Linked DNA regions of Danio rerio. The protein of the gene in region 1 interacts with the protein of each later gene in a biochemical or structural test. Links are inferred from orthologs where the notes say so. Each region holds a gene or a part of one and is shown on either strand. Other genes may lie near its edges.

Region 1 (3,244 bases):
ACATTAATCAGGTGACGATTAGACATATTGGTCTTCAGTTGTCACAACTCTCAATATGACTCTGAGTTTGCTATGAGGGAATGAAGTGCAAAAGGAAGCTCCGCCCATACTCTATAGTCTGTTTTAGTTGGAATTACATTAGTGGAATTACTTCCAGTTCAGGCAGACTCTAACATTCTCTGTTACTTTTCTGCAGGTATCTCAATGCCCATTCCAGTGATTGGACTGAGTAACAGGGAAAAGGTCTTGAAGAATGGCATCTGTGCTCTAAACGAGGAACTCTTCATACTGGTTGGCTCTTTTGTTGCCTTCTTTATTCCTCTGGTCATCATGGTGGTCACATACTGTCTCACCGTCCAAGCACTTCAACGCCAGGCCACAGTCTTCCTCTATGAGGGCAAAGCTTCTTCCCAGCAGCCTTTGCAGCCTCCAGCTCCACCTTCTTCCCAGTTGGTCCCACCCTTGGCTCCATCTCGTCGCAGCAGTCTGAACTGCTTACGGATCAGCAACAGCGATGGAAATACACTCGGTTTGACCGTGCCCCCAGACACTATCTCAATAATCCCAAGTTCAGAAGCGCCATCTCAAATGAATTCACCCGCAGGACGGGACCCAGCTGGAGCTCATGGACGACGGGGGATGATGCAGGCCATCAAGAACGAGCGGCGAGCATCCAAAGTGTTGGGTGTAGTGTTCTTCCTCTTTCTATTCATGTGGTGTCCCTTTTTCATCACTAACGTACTGTACGTCCTCTGCCATAGAACCTGTAAGGAAACTCTACTCACGGAACTGCTCAACGTGTTTGTTTGGGTGGGTTACATCTCATCAGGGGTCAACCCTTTAGTGTACACTTTGTTTAACAAGACCTACCGAAGGGCGTTTTCAAACTATATGCACTGCCAATACAGACACGTAGGGCTTAAACCCATCACTATAAACGTTCCATGTCCATCCCATGCGGTAGTCACACCTATTCTGATGTGTGACAAAGTTTCCATTGACCGGAATAGTAACTGCCGCAATGGGGATGGGAATGGAATCCGAAATCTGGAGACTCTTGATATAGACACTGACACCGGACTGGAGTTGAAACCTGGAATATCAGAGATCTCTATAAGCAGCGGTCACAGTCACACAGAACACACCAGCAGTGTCTGAAAACAGGACAGGGAGTGACCAAGCTTTAAGTGTGGAGATGCTGTGCCCATGAAAAAAAATGTTACTCTGATGAACCGTCTCCTCAACCTCAGCTGTAACACAGCATAGAATGTATGCTGAATTAGCTCCAGAAACAATAATCTGACTGAGGTCAGAAAAGTGAGGGGGAATGTAACATGAACGAGTGTGTGTTTGTTTGTGTTAACAGGTTCAGATGTTTGAATGCCATTAAGTAATGCATGAACACCCAGTCTCTTATCAAAGCAGCACTGGACATTATGAGACTGCAGTCCATGCAAGATAGAGTGATAGCGTCCTCTTGTGGTCGATCGAGTAATTACAAAACAATCTAGTGTGAATCCAAAAAGTCCCTGTCATCCAAGCTAGTTGCATTACAATGGATGAAGCTATGCTGTCTACATACACTTGCAAATCAGATCATTCTTTGTGTAACTTGTAAACATATCCAATGCTACATGCTGAATCCTTTGAGTTGCAGTGAAACAATAATACAATATTCGGGTCATCATGTATTTCCTGCTCTAACAATGTAGAGGAAATGACTGCAGTTCTTTCCTCTGACCCAGAAATCTGGACCAAATTAAATTAGACAAAAGGGTTACATCATACCTATCTTAAAACTTTAAAACAAACATTCAAAAATACTAAAGACACAACAAATATGGCTTTAGTTTTGTTTTTAATGCAGTCCAAATTTGAAGCTTTATTTTTCTTCAGTTTTTATTGTTCAAGGACCGCCCAGAGGCCATCTGACTGACATGTATAGAAACCAATCCCAGTTTGTTTTGTTCCAGGACTTTTAAGGGATCTGAAAATGACAAGAGTAGTATAACTTTAAAAAAGTCTATGCCTGAAAGACTCGTTTGAAATCCCAGGGTTTAGTTGTACTTGTAAGTTCTAATTGTCACTTATATAAACACAATGGCTTTCCATATGAAGATGTATGGCATTATGATGGCTTTTTGTCCAGTTGAACAGTTAAAGAACGAGATGTGCCTCTCATGGAAATCCTGTAGATTTCATATAATTAATTGATGATTTCAAAAGTCTTTCCAGTTTTGTTTTCCATAATCAGCAGATATGCCAGCAATCCGTGGGTGGCCCAAACTGCTTCTCAAGGATAGTTTTTCAGCAGGTATTGAAGTAATTCAGCTCTCCTGTGAATGTAAGGTTTGTTGTGTGCTGCCTCATCAGTTGGTCATGACAGAGCGAGAGAAGAAGCAAAATTGCACAAGAGACATGAGTACTAATATCATTTACTTTATATGGACATTTATTTGGTGTCCATGGCAACAGATGTTGGTCTGCAAGACCAAAAATTATCATTTGAGGATGTCTAGGAACAAACAATGTAAAAAGCTGTAAATTTTTGCTGTTTTCCTGTGTAGAGCCTTAGAATTTCTCCTCTATCACCTACCCTTGCTCAAAGTCCATTTTTATACCATAGCCTGTGAATGTTTACCAGATCCTTTTTTGTTTAAAAAAACATCCTTGCAATGTCATCTTTTTGTGAAGCTGCTATTTATTTAATAAAAGACAATTCTCATTCATTCTGCAGCATACCTCAGGGTGGTAGTCATTGTGTTTTGTCAATTGAAGCATATCCAGCATGCATGTCATTTGTGTACATCTACTGAAAATGGAATCTATTTTTTCCAGGACCATGGACAGCGCCAGATGTGACAATAGACAGGAAATCTTTACACTGCATTGCATTTTTACCCTTTGGTTTAGACCATTTTTACACACACACACAAAAATAGTTAATGGATGATTTGTAACAAAATCATTGTTCTGTGCATGCTATCTCTAGTTTGCAATCTATTTTGGTATTTTGCCTGTACATTTATATATTTATATATATATATATATATATATATATATATATATATATATATATATATATATATATATATATATATATATATATATATATATATATAAAATAAATATTATTATTAATATTATTATTAAATAATATATAATAAATAATATAAAATATTAATTTGGTTGTGTAAACTTTTTAATCAATCAGCCACATTACATTACACATAACGACTCAGTT
Region 2 (4,273 bases), about 8.5 Mb from region 1:
GATTTTTTCAACACACTTCTAAACATAATAGTTTTAATAACTCATTTCTAATAACTGATTAATTTTATCTTTGCCATGATGACAGTAAATAATATTTTACTAGATATTTTTCAATACACTTCAATACAGCTTAAAGTGATATTTAAAGGCTTAACAAGGTTAATTTAACTAGGCAATTAGGCAAGTTATTGTATAATGATGGTTTGTTCTGTATATCAAAAAATATATAGCTTAAAGGGGCTAATAATTTTGACCTTAAATTTTATTATTTTTTTAAATAAAAGTTTCTTTTATTCTAGCCAAAATAAGACAAATAAGACTTTCTCCAGAAAAAGATATATTATCAGACATGCTGTAAAACTTTCTTTGCTCTGTTAAACATAATTTGGGAAATATAAAAAAAAAGAAAAAAATACAAAAGTACAACAATTATTTTTGCTTGATAAAAAAAAAAAACGTGCCGTTTGGTCATCAATATTTAATATTTCAAAGTCATATATATGTATTTGTATCCTCTATAAATGTTTTTTCTAAGAAAAATAGTTTTACAAAAATATGTAATTTGTTATCATTAATTACTTCAACAAAATAAACATTTTTAAAGCATTAATTAATCTTAACATTTTTTAGCATTAGCAACAAATAATTTTTATTTAAATAATATATAAGTAAACATATTTCATGTAACTAATATAACAGAACCAACAATGAAAACACAGTCATATATTTCTTGATAGTAATGTGATAACATTGTTAAAGTTTTTTAAATGTATCATCTGATGTCAAAATAACCCAAAAATAATACCCTAAAGTGTGCCTAAAGATTTCTAAAATAAACAGTTGTAGTCTGAATTGTAAAAAAAAAATTTAATAAATAAATAAATAAATAAATCATCATATATAAATGCATTCCTTACCTGGAATAAACTATTCATTCATATGGTTTAAAATGTATGGAAATATTTCTGCCCTTGGATTCTGATTGGCTAATACATTATCCAATTGAGCGTGGGTTATGTTGTTGACCATATATCACTGTATAGCTGCCATAACATTATTTTCTTAACTAGTCCAGTAACATATTACTGACAGTAAAACAGCCCTATTACACGTGTCTACTATCTGAATTGTAATAATTTATGCAGTCAAACTCGATGTCCTAAACAAAATACCAAGTCGAACAGTCCATATTTGCTTTAAATATATTGTTTAATGTTAAAATTATATATAATATATTCCAATTTCATTGAGAAAATCATAATAAAGTCAGTTTGTTATGGTATGCAAAGTGTCTGCGCGGAAGCAACGCAGGAATGACGCTCTTGACGCTCATCCGTAATCTCGGTGCATTAGCCACAACGCTTAAGCTCAGCAAGCTAACAGCAACAAACACAGCCGCCGAGTCGCAACTCTGGAGCTTTCACCAAACGCAAACTCAACAACCAGGGCTATAATGGCCTCTTTAGGAGAACCTGTACGTCTGGAAAGAGGTAAGCCGCGCACCGAGACACTTTCTGCCGTACGTGAAGCAGGATGTTGTGTAAATCACGCTTTTTGTTCTCCCGCTGTCACTTCGTGAGGATGGATTAGTGCTCGACAGAGAGCTAGCATCAATTCACCGTTCGAGATCATACACGTTTTTCTATAAACTAAACTACGTTCACAAAACGTATAAAATGTGCAATACGGACATTTATATGTCGTTAAAGCGGTGAGTTTACGTTCAACGAAAGGAAAACACGAGGGTAGCTGTCAAAAGCGTTAATCTTTTGTGAGCTCTGTTAGCATGGGCACTTCAGGTCAGAGATCAGTGCATCTGAGTATTTCTAGGGGTTAGTAAAGTCTTTCAGTGACGTCCTAATAGTCAGCAACTTATTTTGAGTTTAACTGAAGCTTTAATACACAGTAGAGTTAACTTAGGCTAGTAGATCAGCTAAAACTCTGATTTATGACCGTCTGTTTTTATCTTAATATTTACATGTATCTGTATAAATCAAGAAGAAACCGGTAAGTAGCATTATAATAGTAAATAATTTCATTCTTAAGTTATTTAGTTTTTATTTACAAACATTATTTCTTTTGGGTAGCGTTAAATTATATACTAGTAACGTTACATACAATATATGGCGCAATATTAATAACAACAACAACAACAATAATATTTGTCATAAAGAAAGGATTTGCTAAAATGTTATCTGCGGTCCGTGTTGTTGTTTTATTTATCAGGGAAAGCTGTTTAGCCACAGACAACATCTCCAGATGGCATGATGCAAATGATTATCCATGGTCTTGGTCTTACATATGTTATTCTACAGACATATCTCGTGCCATTGAGCTGCTGGACAAGCTCCAGAGAACAGGGGAAGTGCCACCCCAGAAGCTGCAAGCCCTTCAGAGGGTTTTGCAGAGCGAGTTCTGCAAGGCCGTAAGGGAGGTAAGTGTTCCAACATCACATTCATGCTTTCAAGTTAAATTTAAACGTCTTCTTACAATTTTGAGGGATGTAAACAATAACAACGGTCCTGACATATTTCCGTTTTTTAATTTATTAAAATTTATTTAAATTTCCAAAGATTCTAAGAGTCCAAGATGTTCCACATATTGATAAATAGTGTTACGATAGCTGTTATAACATCAAGTTATGAATAAATTGTCTCGTTACAGGTATAAAATAGTTTGATAACAAGCAGAAAATGTTCATTGGCCAATGACATTACCACATTGAAATGGTCTATAAAATTTCTAGGTTTGAAAACTGGGGATTGTTTTGCATTGGTTACCTTTTTAATGCTACGAATTAACCTTAACAAATCTGTTACAGAATACAGATTCTAATGCTTCAAACTTCATATTACATTAAGCACATTTTCGCTTTTAAGTACGATACTTAAGTAGAGATCTCTCCTTACCCCAGAGAATAAATTATGTCTGCTGCATATAATCCCTTAAACATGTCTCTTATAGCCTCTTATAGGTGTGAACATGTAATGGTCAGAAGCAGATACAGTATATACAAAATCATTGATAAAACATAAACAAATTGGTAAGAAAAATGACAAACAATGCAATTTGTATGCAAATGATGGAGTAGGAATTCAACATGTATAAGTAAAGAAAAAGTTAGAAGTGCATATTTGATGCATAAGAAGATAAAATCCCCACTATAAATCCATTACTTCTTTACTAAAAGGAAATAGGCATATACATTACTGTTTATTGCAGTAAGTATATTACAAGAAGTTATATTATTAAATATTCATGTTAAAATATATATTTATGTAATATTTCCAGACAGGTTTTAGTGAACTTTCAATATTGTCAAAAACACAGAACTTTTAGTTTTTGTTTGTAAAAAGGCCTAAATGCATGCAAGGTCATTCAAATCTTTTTACACATCTCCAACAAACACTTGCAATCGGTTCATGAGATCGGCCAGATCAGAGAGTACCGATTGAGTTATTAAATGCGTTTAATGGCCGATACCGATCTCTGGCTGATCAATCGGAGTATCCCTATAAATAATGTTTATAATGAATGCCTCTAACTATTCTTACATATTTATTTATGTAATGAGCATGTTATAATGTAATAAAAAATTTTGTTTTAAAATTTAGATTTAGGGTTATCGGCAGTCTATTTTACATCGTTCCTGAATTTAATTTGAAAATGGGTCTGATATTCCAGTGTAACTAACCAGACATCAGCATAAAATATATTTATAGCATCTAAATAGGTTATTACAGGTGAGTCTTTAGAAAGCACCATCTATTAGCTTAGAGTGGCTTATGCTTATAAAAGAAAAGTTGTGCATAAAGCCCTATGGATATTTGTCTGCGTTTTATGCAAATGACTAACTCTGGGCATGCAGCTGCTGTTTTTAAAGTACAACCAATTCATTAACATCATAAAAAGGATAACAAATTGATGCCCAAATAAAGTTTTGGTAAGAACTTCTCTTATTTGTATTCTGCTAAGGCGTTATTGGTGAATGAGATCCGCTGTGTGATGCTGAGGGGGAAAAAAAAGTAAGGTGTGATGAATGTGCCAAAGACTGACAGGTTAATAATACAAAAAATTGAGCAGGCGGATGTTGTTTCATCCTCACAAGCTCCTCTCTCTTTTTTTTTGCCCAAGTACTCAGCTCATTTATGCAAGCGGTCGTTATGACTGAAATTGCTCTCATCGCTAATGCTTATGACAAAGTGCTCATTAGTGTAGTACATGCGTAGTTATTGTTGTGCAGAAGGACTGGATACTAGATATTGATTCTGAT
Region 3 (2,396 bases), on another chromosome or scaffold:
TAAAAAAACTAATTTGACATAATGTCAAACAAAACTGCAAAATGGGCTGGACAAAATTATTGTCACCATTTCAAAATTGTGAATAAATAAGATTGTTTTTAAGCATGTGTTGCTCCTTTAACTAACCTGGGGCATGTAGTAGGTGTGGGCAATTAAAAATCACACTTGAAAGCTGATAAAAAAGGAGAGAAGTTCACTAAGGCCCCGTTTACACTAATTCGTTTTAGTTTTAAAAAGCACAAGTTTTGCTATGGTTACGCCTCCGTCCACACTACGGCAGATTTTTGGAGCCCCAAAAACAAAGCGTTTTAAAAAAACTGGAAAGGTCGTTTTCATTCTAAAACGCTGCTGCTCCATCTCAGTGTGGATAGGGGAAAACAGAGACATCTGAATACGGAGGCGGGGCTGCAGACATTCACTGATTGGGGCTTTTTCCTCAATATTAAGTAGTAATATTACTACTATTATTAAAGTACTTTCTTAACAATAAAATGAAAACATGATATGAGGAACAGCCTATTTTCAATAGCAACTTAACAGACATCAAATGTGTTGAGGCGTCGTGTAGCTGCATAATATGAGTGTCATCTTCATACATATTTAAAGCAAAACAGAGCTGATAACATAACTTTCATTTTCATTGAAAATATGAAACATACCTCCTTTCACTGAATATCAGTTTTAATAATCAATAATGGCCATTATAAAACGATTTTTTTATGATACAACGTACAATAAGTTTATACAATATAGGAAATAAAGGTAAAGCAATCAGTCACTATGCAGAATCAGTGTATGCGGTTACATTAATTGATATATTAACCCAACTTATCCTTGCACTCAGCCAAAACACCTGAGAACAAGTAATATATTCTGAAGACCAAAGTCGGGGAATATGTCGTTAGATGTAGACAAGAGGATGAATTAAACATCATTATTAACAAATATACTGAGATTAGATCCAGCGGTAGATCCTTGATGAACAGTGCGACGTGCACAGCTCTCATATGGGTATGTCCTCAAAGCATGCTGCAGTCCATTTCAGAGTGTGAGTGTGATAACGTGATGTGCGTTTTCAGCGATTTAATGTAGACCCAGAGCTGTTCAGAAATTCTGGGTGAAACGCTAGTGTGGACGCTGATCGTTTTTATTCTAAAACGCTGTTTTAAAACTAAAACGTATTACTGTAAATGGGGCCTTAGTCTGCATTGTGTATCTGTGTGTGCCACACTAAGCATAGACAACAGAAAGAGGAGAAGAGAACTGTCTGAGGACTTGGGGAACTAAAACTGGGGGAAAATATACACAGTCTCAAGGTTACAGGTCCATCTCCAGAAATCTAGATTTGCCTTCGCCCACAGTGCACAACATTACAAGAAGTTTGCAACCCATGGCACTGTAGCTAATTTCCCTGGGTGTGGATTGAAGAGAAAATATGATATAATTATGTCCAGGCCATTTATGCAGTTTTGTGTGATATTATGTCAAATGTGCTTTTTTCTTTAATTTTTTTTGTTTTGTTCCAATTTACACAAAGAGAATAAACGTGTATGAAGTAGCACATGTTTTAATGCAATCCTTGTAGCATTCAAAATTATTTTTTAATAAAATGTTGTTTATTTGTAATGTAATGGCAAAATAGTTTTGTTTATATAGAATCTTTATTACAGTCCTTTATAATAACCCTTCAAATAAATAAGGTTGATCAGAATTGTATTTCTTGAATGATTATGTTAATGATTTTTTTTTTTTTTTAATAATGAATTTTATGTGAATGTTTCAGATGTGGCATTATTATAGTAACCTAAAATGGACTATACAAATTTTTTTTGTTACTTTTACAAAATAAATGTTATTTAATACATAAATTTATACATTTAAATACATACTATTAAAATATTTATTTCAACTAGTTGAAAACTGAAAGTAAAAGACATGAAAAACGAGAATACAAAAGACTAAAAGAACAAAACATTTAAAAACCTGTATTAAATATTATATTCTGGTCTAAAATGAAAGTTTAATGTTTTTTTTCTTCTTCTTTTCTCTACAGATTTGCAGTCTGATGAGAGGAGGGATAGCAGAACGAGGTGGGGTGCGTGTTGGCCACCGGATCATTGAGATCAATAGTCAAAGTGTTGTGGCCACCCCTCATGAAAAGATTGTACACATTCTGTCCAATGCAGTTGGTGAGGTAAGTCTGGAAAGCAGAAACAAGTCCAAGCTTGCAACTGCCTTACAAAATATTGCTCACATTATTCTTTCTCTAGTGAGCAATAGTCCATCTTATTTTTATAAGAATCATCAAATTATGGACTAAAACTGCACCCTCTTTAGCTGTTTTACGCAGACCAAAAGAAAGGTTTTTGAACTTTTATAAGTATTTTTGTACACAC

What was found.
Region 2: the proteins of htr2cl1 (region 1) and lin7c form a complex in vitro, tested with the Homo sapiens proteins (2 studies listed by BioGRID and IntAct, with this or other methods). The link is inferred for Danio rerio from reciprocal best matches to the Homo sapiens genes HTR2C and LIN7C.
Region 3: the proteins of htr2cl1 (region 1) and apba1a form a complex in vitro, tested with the Homo sapiens proteins (2 studies listed by BioGRID and IntAct, with this or other methods). The link is inferred for Danio rerio from reciprocal best matches to the Homo sapiens genes HTR2C and APBA1.

Annotation. Positions count from the first base shown.
Region 1 is NC_133182.1:23,475,424-23,478,667, forward strand, and holds the end of htr2cl1 (5-hydroxytryptamine (serotonin) receptor 2C, G protein-coupled-like 1), read left to right. Parts: intron 1-196; coding exon 197-1,158; 3' UTR 1,159-2,739; downstream 2,740-3,244. UniProt on the Homo sapiens protein: G-protein coupled receptor for 5-hydroxytryptamine (serotonin).
Region 2 is NC_133182.1:31,966,047-31,970,319, reverse strand, and holds the start of lin7c (protein lin-7 homolog C), read left to right. Parts: upstream 1-1,335; 5' UTR 1,336-1,453; coding exon 1,454-1,490; intron 1,491-2,315; coding exon 2,316-2,434; intron 2,435-4,273. UniProt on the Homo sapiens protein: Plays a role in establishing and maintaining the asymmetric distribution of channels and receptors at the plasma membrane of polarized cells.
Region 3 is NC_133180.1:56,845,075-56,847,470, forward strand, and holds part of apba1a (amyloid-beta A4 precursor protein-binding family A member 1), read left to right. Parts: intron 1-2,053; coding exon 2,054-2,194; intron 2,195-2,396. UniProt on the Homo sapiens protein: Putative function in synaptic vesicle exocytosis by binding to Munc18-1, an essential component of the synaptic vesicle exocytotic machinery. May modulate processing of the amyloid-beta precursor protein (APP) and hence formation of APP-beta.